2 linked regions of the Macaca mulatta genome follow. The protein of the gene in region 2 purifies or fractionates together with the protein of the main gene of each other region. This does not show direct contact. Links are inferred from orthologs where the notes say so. Each region holds a gene or a part of one and is shown on either strand. Other genes may lie near its edges.

Region 1 (3,653 bases), on a different chromosome or scaffold from region 2:
CAAGGTCACCACTCACTGCAGCCTCAACCTTCAAGGCTCAAGCGATCCTCCCATCTCGGCCTCCTGAGTAGCTGGGACCACAGGTGTGCACCACCACGCCTGGCTAAGTTTTAAAAATTTTTTGGTAGAGATGGGGTCTCATTATGTTGCCCAGGCTCCCTCTCATATAGCTAGAGCTACGCTACTGATTCTGTCTCTGCAGAATCTTGACTAACAAAGCAGCTGATACTTGATATTTAACCCATATATATCATTATATTATTGGGGCACAACTGGGAAAATGCAAACATTTACTTAGACAATTATTAAAGTTAAATTGATGTTAATTTAAATAATTAATATGCCTCACTAAGATGTGAAATATAGGAATAAATTTAGTAATTGTTTTTGAAGGACAGCTTTACAGGAAAATAAAAAAGAACTTAGTAATTGTAGAAGTTCTCATAAAGTATGAGAAGTTTATATTTTAAACAACTTTAAAATATGAACTAGAAACAAGATGTGAACTGGAAATTTCTTTCCTATTGAAAGCTAAGTAAATTTGTCTCAAATCTCTTATTCATGTTCTCCAAAATATCTGCAAATTCCCAGACATATAAACACATATAACTGCACTTATTATTTCTAAACAGTTGTTGGCCCTGATGCCTTGCTTCAAGCTTTGTTACACATCTATATATCATCAGAGCTCCTTGTACCAATTGACTGAAAGTGACTTGTCATGTGTTTACATCTAAATTCTAAGTAGGTTACACTAAAAAACAGGCTGATGCTCACGTAGATCCAGGTCAGTCAGACACCCACAGGATGAACATTTCGGGGATGCAACAGCACTAGCTCCTGGTGCTCAGGCCAATGGTCAGGGAGAGACAATGATGTGGTAACTGGGGTGGGGAGAGGGATGGAGGGCTGGATCCTAAATGACATCCTCACACCCTACACCATCACCACCCAAAGACACAAACCCACGCAAACATTCTCTAAAGTACTTCAAAACAAAAGAAGCAATGAGTACTCACATAGTAAAGACTAGAAGACAAACTCCCCAAGTACACTAGATTTTTTAAAACTGGAAGATTAATAGCAGATGAAGAAAAGCATTGAGACAAGTTAACAGGAAATGAATAAAGGAATCTTCTAGATGGCTCTAAAAAGCCACAAAAAGTTGTCCAAAACTGCCTATGCTCACCTGGTTAATGTCAGCCAGTGGCTCCTCGTCCTGCACTAGCATTTGAGAAAACTGCAGGCCCTGTTCTGGACTGATCTTCATTACACCCCTCAGCAGAAAGATCCAGTCTGGGGTGTACCCAACCTAGAAGCAAGGGAGCACCAATCAGGAAAATCAATGAAAAACCCTGGGCATTAGAAAAGGAAGTTATCTATCCTTTGTTTTAAACTCATGTTAACAAAGAAATGAGCAGCAACATTATCATTTGTAGGTACCACCTTCTGCCAAACACAATATCCAATTAAATAAATTGATTTCATGTCCATGGAAGGCACAATTAACTATACAAACAGCCCAGACCACAAATAAGTTCCCTGATCTGTGTGCAAACACAGCCTGCCAGTGAGCACACAGGGACAAGATCTGGAAGTCTGCCAAAATATCAAATTAACATACAGAAGGAAGAGAGGGAGAGAAAAAACAAGATAAAGCTCCCAAATAAAAAGAAGATGGAAGGACTGGAAAACTAAGGAAAATAAAAAACTGAAGAAAATGCAATATGATCAATATCAATAAAGATCCTAATAGCAACACTGCCAACTCTCACACCAGAGGACTTATAAAGAAGGGTATTTTATAAACTTTAAATCAGCAACCACTCAACCACATGTTGAGTGGGATGCAGATGGTTCAACACACGTTACCTTTTTGGCATAGAGCACAATTTTCTGGAATTGGCCTGTTTCTGCAAAACACTGGATCACTTTGCTTGGCACGTTTGCCCGAAGGTACACACTCAGAGCGAGCATGGGGTCAGTGGTTTTGACCAAGTCTCCGAGCTCCTCTGAGCACTCCAGCTGTGGTACGCCAAGGGACAAGGCAAAGTTAGGAGGTGGGCAGGGAGCCTGGACCAAGCTGTGCGGGGGGCTACCATCTCACAAGTGTTTCTACCTTATCTTCTTTCAGCCACTTCTCTAGGAGTTGCTTACGCCCCTGCTGAAGAACCAGATGGCAAAGTTCTAGGGATTCAAGTTTATTGAGCTGACCCTGGTCGAGCAGGATTCCAAAGTACTGCAGCAATGGAGAAGCCTGGCCAGGCTGAGCGGGTATACTCTGGAATTTCTGGACCGTCTCTCTGGTACGCAGGATTCCCTAGTAATAAATGGAAAAATAGGTCATTGTGTTGTAATCACGGGGGATCCCTTCACTCAACTTGCTTCTATGTAAAAACAAAAATCTGCCAGTGGAAATTCCACACTGCTCTGTCATGGACAAAATGTCCTCTACTAAGGCAACCGCTTCTATCTTCAATAAGAACCATAAATATGGGGGATCTAGGTCCTCCAGGTGGCTTCACACTTAGGGCCTTACTTCTCCCCCAGCATGCTGCAGTGAGAATTCAGCCTCTCAATCAGTCTTGTAGTAGTGAAGTTCTGCTATCATTATATTCTAATTCAAAATACTCACATTCACAGATGAAGGCTAGAAATGGTTTGTTCATAACCACCCCTTGAAAGACAAGAAAAATTCTTTCAAGGACCAGCAACTTGAAAGTCTTTATCTACTCAGGAGCAGATCCAGTCTCTGAACAATTTATCCAAATGAAATAAACTAAAGAAAAAGCCTTATGCAGAAATGCTATATTCTGAAAGAGTGGAGGAAGTCCAGAGCAGGACTATTGCTAAATAAAACAGGGATCAACCACTTGGTGTATTGTACAGTTGCATATTTGACAACCAGGCAGCAAGAGTGGAAAATTCTGAGTTGCGAAAATGTGAAACTGTACCCAAGCCATTGGATGAGAGGTATGTATGCACACAAAGTGGGAGACAGGAAGAAGTGCTGATGCAGCAAGAGTGTGCTTTTTGTTTACTTCCCTTACTGTTAAGCCATTGGTGCAAAAATTTTAAACTAAAAACTCCTAACATAACACGAATAGACTGCAATACCAGTAGTGAAATGCTTTTATGACTTATTTTCCTCTCAAGGTTGGTTCTTAACACTCAGAACACTTGAACAGTATTCAAGGTTTATCACCTTTGGTGCAGATGCTGCAACTTTGGCGGCTTCAGCATAGCTGCCCTGTGCAAAGAGGGTACTGAATTTTCTCGCAAACAACTTCTCTGCCCCAGCCAGGTTACTACGAATGGCCAAACGCAGACTAAGGTCTGGATTCTGAAGCACGTTGGTTGCATAATTCACAATATTATCTTCCTCAACACAAACTGACAGCACCTGTAAGGACCCGACAAGTGAGAGCGGCCCGGCCTAGAAGAGTGCTCTACCATCCCTCAGCCATGTTCCCCTCTACCATCCCTCGGCCATGTTCCCTCTACCATCCCTCGGCCATGTTCCCTCTACCATCCCTCGGCCATGTTCCTTCTACCATCCCTCTGTCATGTTCCCCTCTACCATCCCTCTGTCATGTTCCCTCTACCATCCCTCTGTCATGTTCCCCTCTACCATCCCTCTGTCATGTTCCCTC
Region 2 (3,753 bases):
ATGCTCCTGGCTCAGCCTTCCCGAGTAGCTGGAACTACAACTACAGCTACATGTCACCACGCCTGGCTAATTTTCGTATGTTTTGTAGAGATGGGGTTTCACCATGTTGCCCAGGCTCCACAGCATTTGAAAGAGAATGGAGCCCAGAGTTGGGAGGTGTGGGATCAAGCCCTAGATCGGTCACTCCTGGCTGTGTGACTCTGGGCAAGATACTCAGATTCTCTGGGCCACCAGTTTCTTGCATGTTACAAAAGCCTGGTTACATTTCTCATATCAAGGAGATACAGAGATGCTTCAAACTCCTCAGCCACAGGAACTGTCTTATTCATTTCTGTATCCCTAGTGTCCTGGCACACAGTAGGTGCTCAGCAAATGTTGAATGAATACACACATGACTGTGAAGAGCCTTGTAAACACCATTAACCAAAATATATCTATATGTATATATGTCAGCACTATTACAACAGGTCCATAAACCACTCCAAAATGACATTAACAGGAAGTAAAACCTGTTTTGGATGCACCCATGAAAGTGATGTCTACTTTTTTTGTTGTTGTTTCTTGAGACGGAGTCTCGCTCTGTCACCCAGGCTGGAGTGCAGTGGCGCGATCTCAGCTCACTGCAAGTTCTGCCTCCCGGGTTCACGCCATTCTCCTGCCTCAGCCTCCCAAGTAGCTGGGACTACAAGCACCTGCCACCACGCCCAGCTAATTTTTTGTATTTTCAGTAGAGATGGGGTTTCACTGTGTTAGGCAGGACGGTCTCGATCTCCTGACCTCATGATCCACCCGCCTTGGACTCCCAAACTGCTGGGATTACAGGTGAGAGCCACCGCGCCCGGCTGATATCTACTTTTTTACTAAATATTTCACAAAATCATTCTTGCTAGCCAGAACCAGGGCAGGAACATCATTGATAAAGATGATCTCTCAGGGACCAGGCATGAACTCTGAAGTCTGAAGCCAATCACAGTAAATCATGATAGCTCCGGACCACGTTTGGAAAACCATTAAGTCGACAACTACAAAACCCTGAAGGGCCCTACCACATCTGACTGATGCCTCTTTGCGGCCCACACTCCGGTGTCTAACTCAGAGCCAGACACTTGGAAGGCAGTGTGGTCAGGTGGAGAGGGCTTCGAGTCTGACAGAAACAGGTTTAAATTCACGGCCAGGTGTGGTGGCTTACACCTGTAATCCCAACACTTTAGGAGGAAGATGTGGGAGGATCGCTTGAGCCCAGGAGTTCAAGACCAGCCTGGGCAACACAACAAGACCCTATCTCAAAAAAAGGAAAAGAAAAAATATATAAAAAATAAAAAGAATCAGGTTTAAATTCTTGATCTGCCACTTATTAGTTATTTCAATAGCATACCCCTTTGAGTCTCAGTTTTACCATCTCTGAAATGGGTTCAGTAACGTGTATGAAGTGATTAAATGTAACCAAGGCGCTTAGCCCAGCGACTGCCGAATGGCAGGTGGTCACGGGGGAAGGTTAGTGACTTCCTGGAGCACCCAGGGTCCTCTTTTTTCCCAGCTGCAGGAGAGAGCTAAGCCTGAGGGGCCAGGAGGGCTGTGTTCTGCCCACACCTGCACACTTAGCTGGGAGCCTGGGACAGCCAGGCTATTAGAAGGCTCAGGAGGGACTCTCAAAACTGAGCTGGGGTTGGATTCCAGAGCCGGGCAGCGGGGAAGCTGGCCTGGGGATGAAATGTCATGACCGAATTCCTGTCCCGGGAGTCACCGGATCCACAGCCCCAGGGGAGGCCTCATCCCCAGCTCGGAAGTGCTACATGGAGAGCTCCAAGAAGATTCTTCCCCACGTCCCCCAGCTCCTGCCCCGGCTGGCCTAGAGCAGGCTCTCTACCCTGTGCCGCTGGGCCCCGGCCGGGGTCCCCCGGGTGCGCGCCCTGAGCCCCGCTCCAGGCCCCGCGCTGACTCACCCCCACTCGTGGGGCCCAGCTGCGCGGGGGCCGCATGGCTGCCGGCAGATGCCCCGAAGCCCTCGTCGTTCTCTATGCCTGCAATCTCGCTCTCCTGCTGGGCCAGGAAGGCGGCCGCCGGGTCCTCCTCCGCCGCCTCCGGGGCCCCGCTCTCCGACGACGAGAAGAAGCCAAAGTCATCAGCCATTTTCCCCGCGCCTCTGCCGGAGCCTCCGCTGCGCTCGGCTCTGCCCGCGCCTGCCCCGCGCTGCGTCCGGCGGCCGCGACGCTGTCACCCGAGCCGCGGGGAGCCGGCTTCGGCGGGGACGAGCTTGGCGCGGACCGCACTTCCTCTCCGCCACCGGGCCCGGCTGGCTGTCACTGCGGTGCGGGCGCCGCGGCGGGAGGAGCGGAGCCGGAATGCGGTGACGTCAGCGCGGGGGCGGGGCCGCAGCCGCAGGGCCGGGAGGTCGCCGAGCAGCGGCCGCAGGAGGGCGCCTAAGGACTGGGCGCAGCGCTGGGCCCGGGACCCGCGCGGCGCTTCCCTCTCTCCGCAGCGGCGCCCAGCTGCTCGTGTCCAGGACACCGCGGCGAGGCACAGCTCCCGCCCGGTCTGAAGGCGAAGCGCAGGGCACAAAGTGGCCGTTCTGTGCACTGGGCCGCGACAGGAGGCCAGCTCTGGCCTCGGGAGCGCAGACCTGGCTCCTGATTCATTCTGCAAAAGTTTCTTCTCCTAAGCTGGGGTGTCATGCACCTCATTCTATGAGCCTCCGCCTCTGTAAGAGGAGGAAAATTGAGGCTGGGAAAGGCTCCCCCGCACCTTTTCATGCAAGTCCAGGTCCTTTCCCACTAGGCCGTGTTGTTTTGTGCATTTTTTGTGTGTATGTCCCTTGAGGAGGCTTCAGTTCATACGACCAGAGTTTGAATGGCCCGGCTGGACCCCTTAAATGTCCTTTAGGTATGAACTAGCCCGAGAAAGGCAGACCTGGTTTATCCAGACACCCTGCCACTCTCCGCCGCTGCCCGCTGCCCTCCGTGAACAGGCTCTGAATGCCTCCTCCCTGCCTGCGCTTTGCCAAGCACCAGGACAGCAACGTTTTATAAAATCCAGCCATGGCCATGCGGAAATTACAATCCAGTGAGACCAACAGACGGCAAATGGTATGTCAAGGCTCTGTGTGTGAGGCGCTGTGACATTTAAACACGGGGTACAGGGAGACGATGCAAAGAAACACCATGGGATTTGGGCTGTCTGCTATTTCTAATGTGGGACTTGAAGGGCTACTATGAAATATGGACTGGAAGAGAGAAAGGAAAGACGTGCCCCCACACTGGGGGTAGAAGTGGAGTTGGGGTGAAGGGAACTTCCAGGTTTTTTTGTTTTTTTCTTTTTAATTTTTTTATTTAGAGACAGAGCCTCGCTATATTAACTGGGCTGGTCTTGAACTGCTGGCCTCAAGGGATCCTCCTGCCTTGGTCTCCCAAAGCACTGGGATTACAGGTGTGAGCCACCAAGCCCAGCTGGAACTTTCAATTTAATTGGTAACACCTTGAGAACCTTTTGATGTTACTGGTTTTTTGAGGTTTTTTTAAAAATTGTTTTATTTAATTAAATTAATGTATTTATTTATTGCTGTCTATTTGCATGAGTTTTTGTTGTTGGTATTTGTTTTTTGTTTTGAGGCAGGATCTTACTCTTGCCCAGGTTAGAGTGTAGTGGCACGATTATAGCTCACTACAGCCTCAACTCCTGGGCTTAAGTGATCCTCTCATCCTCAGACTTCCAAAGAGCTGGAATTACAGGCATGAGCTTTTTGATTGGTCTTTTTGA

Evidence for each region. The genes of interacting proteins can lie anywhere in the genome.
Region 1: the proteins of CLTB (region 2) and CLTCL1 purify together in Homo sapiens (affinity purification with mass spectrometry; 3 studies listed by BioGRID and IntAct, with this or other methods). This does not show direct contact. The link is inferred for Macaca mulatta from reciprocal best matches to the Homo sapiens genes CLTB and CLTCL1.

The regions. Positions count from the first base shown.
Region 1 is NC_133415.1:33,472,792-33,476,444, reverse strand, and holds part of CLTCL1 (clathrin heavy chain 2), read right to left. Parts: intron 3,404-3,653; coding exon 3,206-3,403; intron 2,321-3,205; coding exon 2,120-2,320; intron 2,026-2,119; coding exon 1,873-2,025; intron 1,313-1,872; coding exon 1,190-1,312; intron 1-1,189. UniProt on the Homo sapiens protein: Clathrin is the major protein of the polyhedral coat of coated pits and vesicles. Two different adapter protein complexes link the clathrin lattice either to the plasma membrane or to the trans-Golgi network.
Region 2 is NC_133411.1:185,349,555-185,353,307, forward strand, and holds the start of CLTB (clathrin light chain B), read right to left. Parts: upstream 2,306-3,753; 5' UTR 2,131-2,305; coding exon 1,944-2,130; intron 1-1,943. UniProt on the Homo sapiens protein: Clathrin is the major protein of the polyhedral coat of coated pits and vesicles.